2 linked regions of the Nothobranchius furzeri genome follow. The protein of the gene in region 1 purifies or fractionates together with the protein of each later gene. This does not show direct contact. Links are inferred from orthologs where the notes say so. Each region holds a gene or a part of one and is shown on either strand. Other genes may lie near its edges.

Region 1 (3,818 bases):
GCCTGCACAGTGTGAGAGAAGGAAGGGAGGGGCAAAGCGACGCTCCGTTCAGGGTCGCTACAGGGTCCACGGTAGCAGCGACAGCCAGCTGGTTTGATCCGCTCTGAAAGGCGTTGATCAGAATTTGCAGGTCACATTTTTTTAAACGGAGATTGGGCGCGTGCTGCCATCATGTGTCGTTCAATACAGCGTTCGTGCGGAAACTCACCTAGGAACTTTTATCTGCTGCACTTAAATCACGCAAACAAAAATAAATTATCTAATGGAAAAAATAATCTGAAATGGTTCAACACTCCCCCATGAACCATTACATCCCTATCTACGAGTGACCTGATGGTTTATTTACTACCAGTATCTTTGGTGAAGTTCAACGGTGGGCTTTTCTTCATGGATGTAATCTCGTTTTTCCTCTTTTTACTTTAGTCGCGGATGAAGTCTCGAGGGATTTGGTGATCGTTTGAGTCTAGTGAAGAGGATGGCAGAGACGTTGCTCCACATGGATTGATGCTCTGCACAAAATTGTTCCGCGGCGCTGATGCCCCCCCCCCCCCCCCCCCCCCCGGGTGTCAACCTGGCGTAAAATATCTAAACTATGCAACTTAAAAAAAAAAGATGTATATGTAATATTTGTTATATTTTTGTCCTAAAGACCCAAATCCAGCTTTAAATAAGGTTCAATAAAACATTAAGCACTTAATTTCTAAGATGTCTTTCATGAGACGAGGGATAATTTGCTTCAATTAATATGGAAAACCATCCAAAATTACAGCCCTTTTAGCCAATTATGAACTCCTGAGCTGCTAAACTGCGGTATCCTAGTAGTTCTGGTGTTGAGATGGACTTCATCAGTGTAATGTTCTTTTTCTTTTGGACCCTTTGCTGTTATTCTTGAAGTTAAAAATACACTTTCTTCCCTGCAGGGCTCGGTGTACCAGAAAACCAACGCCATGTCTGAAATCAGAAAGACCAACAAGGACAACTTCTGGGCACAGGCGGAGGTATGCTAACTCTGCGCCGGTGTATCCATTATACACATACGTGCATTAACACATTCTTCTAAACTTACTGATCGTGTATTTTAGTGCAAATTTCTTGGATGCTGACCTTTTTTGTGCTTTTAGAAAGAAGAGGAGAGACGGCGGCAGGAGGAGCGACGCAAGGCTGACGAGGAGCGCCAGAAGCTGGAGAGGGAGAGGAAAGACAGGGAGAGCAAGGAGGCTGCTGTGAGGGAGAAACGGGACAAGGAGCGAGCTTCTCAGATCGACCAACAGAAGTGAGCTGCAGCTGAGGGAAAAGATGGGTCTGTGAAAACAGCCGTTGGACCAATCATGCTGCTTCTCTTGTGTTTTACAGGAAGTACCAACAACAGCTGGAAGCTGAAAGTAAAGAGCAGGAAAAACAACGCTGGGTGAGTGCTTCGTTAAGATTACACTTGCAGTAAGAGACTTCCTGCTGATGGAGACATGAAGGAGCAGATGCACTCTGGTGATCGCTAAAAATGTTTTGATCGTGCATACGTCTTGTGAGCACTTAAGTGAGGTTGGCAAACATCAGCAGTGCCAACATTCATTTCAACATCACCAGGATGAGGGGCAGGAGAACCAGGAGGTCCAGAGAAAAGCAGTTAGGAGAGGTGAATCTGTGGAGAAAGCTAATGTGAGTTCCCCAAACCTCCCTCTCCTGCATAACCCTGTCCTCCTGTTTCTTGTTTCCGGATGAACACTTCTCCTCTCAATTCTGATCTCCTCCAAGCTTGTTGGCGCTCGCCTGATTTCCTGTTTCCATTTTTCATGCCTTGTCCAAGTGATCCTAATCTCCTATCCTCTGTTCATTTCTCTTCTATAGGAGGCTGCCTCTCTGATCTCTCAGCGTTCTGTGAACCCCAGAGAGATGTTCAAGCAGAGGGAGCGAGGAATAACACCCAGCGACTCGGACACACCCCCTGCTGCCCCTGCGAGCCCTCAGCCAGGTATGGTCCAAGCGTAAACCTCATTGCTTAGCTAACAGCAGCTGATCTTGCATAACTGCAAACCTTTCTAAGCCTCACCCTCGTCATGGTTGCGTACCTACAAACCAGGGCGACTCGTCTCCTAATGCCGCCCCTCCATGTAGTTGTCTCATAATCATACTGAATCGGTCGTAGTCTAGTCTGTTCCTCTCTGCTCAGTCTGGCTGCTCTTTGTCGTCTCTCTCATCCATCTGTCTGCATGCTTGGCGGGGTCGGGTGTTTGTCTGCTCAGGGCGTCTTCACAGCCCATTTCTGTCTAAGCAAGTGAACCAATGTGAGCAAGCCAGCTCACCTCAGCGCCAAGCTTCTCCTCCTCCTGTGTCAGCAGGCTCTGCCTCTCCTGGCCATGCCACAGGTGTGAGCTTAACACACACACACACACACACACACACACACACACACACACACACACACACAGTAGCATAGCAGTTTGTGGTACCAAAAGGAGAATTAGAGGATTAGCCAAACATCTGACCAAATAGATTTTGGGTTAGTTTGAAGGATTTAGCTGTGGCTTATGACTTATTTTGTACTAATTACACTTGATCTCATACTTGGAAAAAACAAGATTGTTATAAAAACGTAAATACCTGTTATTAATATTACCTTTTAGTTATTTATTTCTTGCTGCTATGAAGGCTAACAAATGCTAATAATGATTAGTTATACGTCAATAGGAAACTATGAGCAGCTGCTGTGATGCACAGTCTGGTTTTTACTGAGCGTAAAAGATGTCCGACTCACACGTAAAAGCTCCCTGTCCTGCATCTGTGCTGTCTCTGCTCTACTCATCATTAGTCAAGCTTCCATCAACTTTTTGAATTTTTTTTTTATCTTTGAGTAAAATTCCATTGTGCCTGAGTCTGGTGGTGGTGCTCAGCCTGTGTGGACTTGTGCTACATGCATGTCTGTGCTTGTCTTTTGGGTAATAAGAGCCTGATGTGGACGGTGGGCACTCCAAGTGTGAGTATGATGAGCAGGAAGCCCCTCCCCAAGAGCAGCAGAAAGGTGGGGGTCATTTCACACACATCAGCTTCAGTGCGACTGCATCAAACACCCAGCCCTCCCATCTGCTTTCATGTGATAGAAAAACATGTTTGGGTTTATTTTAGGAGCCTTTTGTTTTCAATTCAAATTCAAAGATACTTTATTAATCCCAGAGGGAAATTAGAGTTTCAGTACACACAATTCTGAGATCAGACATTCATACATAGGCATAGACACATGACAAGAATTGGTGACTGTGGTCATTCGCAACCCGAGTCACGCTACCTTAACAGAGATCAGAGGGTTACATGAGGATTGGCTCAGGTGGATGAAAAAAAAGGCACTTCAGAGTTACCCTCCACAGGGAGGGCAGCTTTGCTATGAAAAAAACACCTCAGACAGAAATACAACAGTCTTCAGACATTACACAACATAAGTGTCCACTAGGTGGGGAGGTAGGGTTGGGGACTATCCTCACATCAGTGCATGCAGCCGCGATTAGCAGCGCTCGTCACCTCCGTTTGGACAGGGGAAGGAGGTATTTGGGTTAGAGAGCACAGTGACTCCTGGAGTCGATTCAACGGCCTTCACCGGTCGTAGTCCCGCTCAGACTGGGATAGGGAGACTGAGTTACCATGGCGACGGCAGCATTCCACATTTCTTCTGAGGGGGAATAATCTCTTCAGCCGCACAGGCTCAAGGGCACCAGATTCAGATAAAAACTTGTTTTGGGCCAGACAGAGATAATTTCCTCTCTGTCTTAAAGTTCTGTTGATCTCCAACCCCTCTGAATCCAATAATGGTGTAAATTAATCTATCCCAA
Region 2 (4,540 bases), on another chromosome or scaffold:
ACCAGTGTCAATTTAATATAGCGTAATATTGTTTTTGGATGGTAAAAAGTACAGGGGTCAAAACTTGACTTTGAAAAAGTGTGTGTGTGTGTGTGTGGGGGGGGGGGCATGTCCCCCCTGTCCCCCCCAAAATTACGTCCATGAATTAGAGAAAATGGACCAAAAAGTAAAATGCAAAGATAAGGAGCGTAGGAATAGAGGAGTAAAATGACCTTAAAGAAGTATGAAATACTCAACAGGAGTTGTAAAAATTACAATAAGGAAACAATTAGCCGCTGATTTAAAAAAGATCATAAGTCACCCACCAAACTAATACAGATGAAGCAAGATATGCAGACTTCTGATGTAAAATCAAATCACTAAACAAATGATTACATCAGCCATTGAAAATTAACATCAAACACAAAATATGTGTCAAATTTTAGAGAATAATGAGAAACCTCCAACATAAAAACATGCAACGACACAAAATTCTGAAAAGTGGAAATCATGTTAGAAAAAATGTAGGAGAAAAACAAACCAAATCCCATAAACTGAGTATATACATAAATAAAATAGCTGAATTTCAAAGAGTTCAGTGATGAAACTGTTTACATCACACAGAGTTTGAGACATAAATCAAACTGCTTCCAGCCTCAGTCATAATGTCTACACACACGCCTCATAGTAATTATGCGTTCATCTTAAATGTGTCATTAAAAAGTCTTAAAATGACGCATAAATAATTTCTCATTAACATGTAATATTGTTTAAATTCAACATCTCTTCCAATTGCAGCTGTAATAAAATATCCAGAAAAGATTCTCAGTGTTTGTTTGACCTTGGCACAAACAGGTTTCAGGTTCTGAATAAAAAAATGTCTCTCCCTAAAATGGTTATTAGTGAATATTAATTAATATGGTGGTGGTGGTGGTAAAATGAAGGGTAAATTCTGTTCAATGAGGTTTGGCAGAGATGATGAAGTAGCCCCCCCTAGTGGATCATTACAAGTAGTGTTTAATTTCTTTCATCACCTCCTTGGTTCCAAGGTAAACTGTATAAATCCGTTTGGTTTGGGTAAAACCTTAAATCAACATATATTTAAATAATATAGTGCATTAAAAACGAAGTGTGGCTTCCATTGAACATAAAAAGCAAGATATATGGCTAATTATATTAAAAGCACAGCCCAAAATAAAACACATTTGATGAATTTCATAAAAGTTTAAATAGTTCAGCCCAAATTTCATAAATTAGCATCTATTAGCCAGATTTTGACAAATAGTTATTAAACCTTGTCGTGTCCTTGGCCTTTTAGAACGACGGTGTGATTCTGTTTTCAGATTTAATCTATTTACTTGTAAAAAATAATAGGTTACGTTTTCTATTCGTTTTACTGTGCATTAATTAGTATTATTGATGCACTAAATAAGAGAGTGTTTAGGATCTACATCATGCTGATGAGGAAATGCACAACTCAGTGAGTCTATGAGGAAGCATAGACTGAACAGAGTGGGGTCTGGATCGACACTTGGGGGACACTTCATGCAGTACTTTATATTAGTGAGAATTAACATTTACTGCGGAAAATTTGCTTACATCTTTTAAAAATGTTCTAAATCAATTAAAAAGGGAATCAGACAAACCAACAATTTATATTTTGTACAACTTTGTTTCTGTAGGCTTCAAAATTATCGGAAAAGAATGAAAGACTCTTAACCAGGGCGAAGACGCAGATACACGTGAATACATAATAATTTAAATAGTTCATTTTCAAGTTAAAGTTACCATCCTACTTTTCCTCAAAAGAGTTTTTGTAGCGTTTTTACACGGTTGCCATGGTTTTCGGGATACTACCGTGAAGGCTGAAAGTGAAGCTAAACTGTCGTAAATTCGCAGCGTCGTGAATCCTTGCCGCCCACTGAAGATGGCGGCGGAGCTGCATCCGCGGAGCGGAAAGCTGGTCGGCCTGTCCAACTCGAACCGAACCGCCCGGCGCAACCAGCCAGTCCAGGAGTTCAACCACGGCCTGGTGCTCAGCAAAGAGCCGCTCAGGGACCGGGATGTTTTCACCGTCCGGATTGACAAGAAGGTAAACAAGCACGGGCCCGCCTGCTGCTGAGCGGTGTTGGAGCGGCGACGAGCCGGGGGGTCTGTCTGACTCTGCCCGCGGCGAGGGGCTTCTGCCACCCGGGGGCAGGTCCGCAGAGCTTGACAGCGACCGCAGCCTTCAGTCGCGACCTCTGGGAGGGGGGATTTTATCTGAGCCGTTACAGGGACATGGTGACTTGATGAACACCTCCCGGATAGTAGATAGGATAAACGAACGAGTTGGTTAGCAGCAACCCGCCCGTCTTGCTCCGGTACTGGTTAGCCGTGCTAAACACCGGTTAGCTGCTGGTTGGACTGGACTTTCTGGAAGGTACCACAGGAGGTTTCTGTCGTGTTTGTGGAGAAAACGCTGCTTTCGTTCATGTAAGGCGGCCGAGCGGTTAAATACGGGACAGGTGAGCTTTGTTTATAAGCTTCTAGCAGGGATGGTGCTGCGGCGTCCAGAGGAACAGAAATCACTGTTCTGAGTTTATCTGGAGCTGGTTCTCCCCTTCAGCGCTGCAACACGCTGCCTGGTTACCTTAATCCCCTTAGAATAATCCCGACTTTCTCTAATTGGTCAGACTCTTAAAGTTACTGTGTTTTAACCTTAAATGTAAGCAAGTCATTGATTATAAACTAACATCTTAAGGCATCATCTCATGTCTCTGCTGTGGTTTTCTCACAGCAGCTTTCCATAGTGGGCCATGACGTGCTGCTCCTTCATCTTCAGCACTAATGTGGGGATTTCTGGTCTGGCCTTGAGCTGGTTAAGATCACATCTTCATGACAGGATCATATGTGTGAGGATGCTGGATGGTGTTTCTCCTGCCTTCTCACATCTGCCTTGAGGGGGTCCCACAGGGTTTGATATTTGGACCCTTGTTGTTTTCTATCTATATTCTCCCACTGGGTGACATCCTGTAAAAGTATGGAATTGGTTTCTAAATTTATGCTGACGACTGCCAACTATATTTACCTTTAGATGACGCTGGAGACCACCCCATTAGAAATCCCAAGGGTTGTTTTGCTGGAGTCGAGGCATGTTTGGCATGGTGGAGAACTTCCTGTTTCTCGATGAAAATAAAATAGGTTTTTTTGGGCCTAATGGTTCCCTAACGTGGTGAATTATATTTCTACATGAGTGTCAATCTTGGCTTGAAGATTGACACTGCTTTCTGCTTTGATGCTCACATCAGTTCCATCTTCTTCCTTTTATCATTTGAGACACTTGGCTAATGTAAAGCCATTGCTGACTAGAGACTGTTGTTCATGCCTTCACTACGCCATTCCTAGACTACTGTAACTCTGCCTTATTTGGTAGCTGTAACTCACCTCCAGCTTGTTCAGAGTGCTGCAGCAAGATTCTTGAAGAGCAAGTGAAAATATTATGTAGAACATGAAATAAAGGATGACCTGGAGGACGGCAAAAAATTTATTTATTTAAAATAATTTCACAAATGAAACGATAAAAGATGCAGGTTTCTCATAAACAGAAGATGCAAACATGTAAAGACATTTTGCATGGATCCTCTGGACCGGATTTTCTTCTTTAGGAATGCTCTGTTGGCTTTCCAGTCATCAGTATGACTAAAGTTTCTCAGCAGCATCAACATTTTTATTACGTTTCTCATAAAAGCTTCTCTGTATCTGCAGAATTGATCAAAGATTTCTTCTGTTCTGAACTTGTGCCAACTGGGCCACACATCCTACACACTTTTTAAAAGGCCGTTCTGGGGTCTACAGGCCAGCAGTTGTTAGTGTCAGTAAGCTCAACATTTGGCTTAATAGGTACCAACTGCTTGTAAATGATCACGCACCCCGCTTTGTCTGATCAGAGCTCTCATAATGAAGCTCACGCTATCATGACCTGGAAATCAATATTTTTCCATCACAAAGCGCCCCCTGGCATGCCTGCTAATTCATCTGCTGTGCTGCAGGGGAAGTGGGGGTAAACTCGAGATGAATGAAGTGAATTATTAGTGAGTGGACTCTGAGTGGTTTAGGGCTTGTCCTGGAAGTGCACAAGTTTTTAAAAAAAGTGCAATCACAACAAGCACAGTTGATTATTGCAGTGGTGATATTAGCTGTGATCTCCTCGTAAACATCTAAAACCACACAAAGTGTAGAGAACAGCTTTAAGGTCAGAGGTCATGAGCCTCACACCCTTAGAAAAGTCATTTCTCTGCCTTGGAATCAAGACTTTGAGGCAGCTCAATTTTCTGCCTGATGGAATAAAGTAAGTGGGGAAGTCACTATATTGTTAACCAACAGTTCATCAGTGAAGTTGTCATTGCAGGTATTCATTTTTAGAATCATTTGTGTTTGGGGAAAATATGTTAAAGCAACACTGAATAAGTCCCGTCCCCCCGTCCCCTTACTGGTGGAAAGTGTAATTACAACTGTCATAAACAACCCTGCTAACACTAACATGAGCCAACTAATACTAAAATAAACCAAAAAGTACAAA

The links.
Region 2: the proteins of dbnlb (region 1) and neurl4 purify together in Homo sapiens (co-immunoprecipitation; 4 studies listed by BioGRID and IntAct, counting the BioPlex papers as one, with this or other methods). This does not show direct contact. The link is inferred for Nothobranchius furzeri from reciprocal best matches to the Homo sapiens genes DBNL and NEURL4.

What each region holds. Positions count from the first base shown.
Region 1 is NC_091757.1:38,248,791-38,252,608, forward strand, and holds part of dbnlb (drebrin-like b), read left to right. Parts: intron 1-920; coding exon 921-998; intron 999-1,121; coding exon 1,122-1,273; intron 1,274-1,353; coding exon 1,354-1,408; intron 1,409-1,584; coding exon 1,585-1,656; intron 1,657-1,845; coding exon 1,846-1,969; intron 1,970-2,240; coding exon 2,241-2,363; intron 2,364-2,941; coding exon 2,942-3,016; intron 3,017-3,818. UniProt on the Homo sapiens protein: Adapter protein that binds F-actin and DNM1, and thereby plays a role in receptor-mediated endocytosis.
Region 2 is NC_091742.1:53,430,753-53,435,292, forward strand, and holds the start of neurl4 (neuralized-like protein 4), read left to right. Parts: upstream 1-1,733; 5' UTR 1,734-1,906; coding exon 1,907-2,071; intron 2,072-4,540. UniProt on the Homo sapiens protein: Promotes CCP110 ubiquitination and proteasome-dependent degradation. By counteracting accumulation of CP110, maintains normal centriolar homeostasis and preventing formation of ectopic microtubular organizing centers.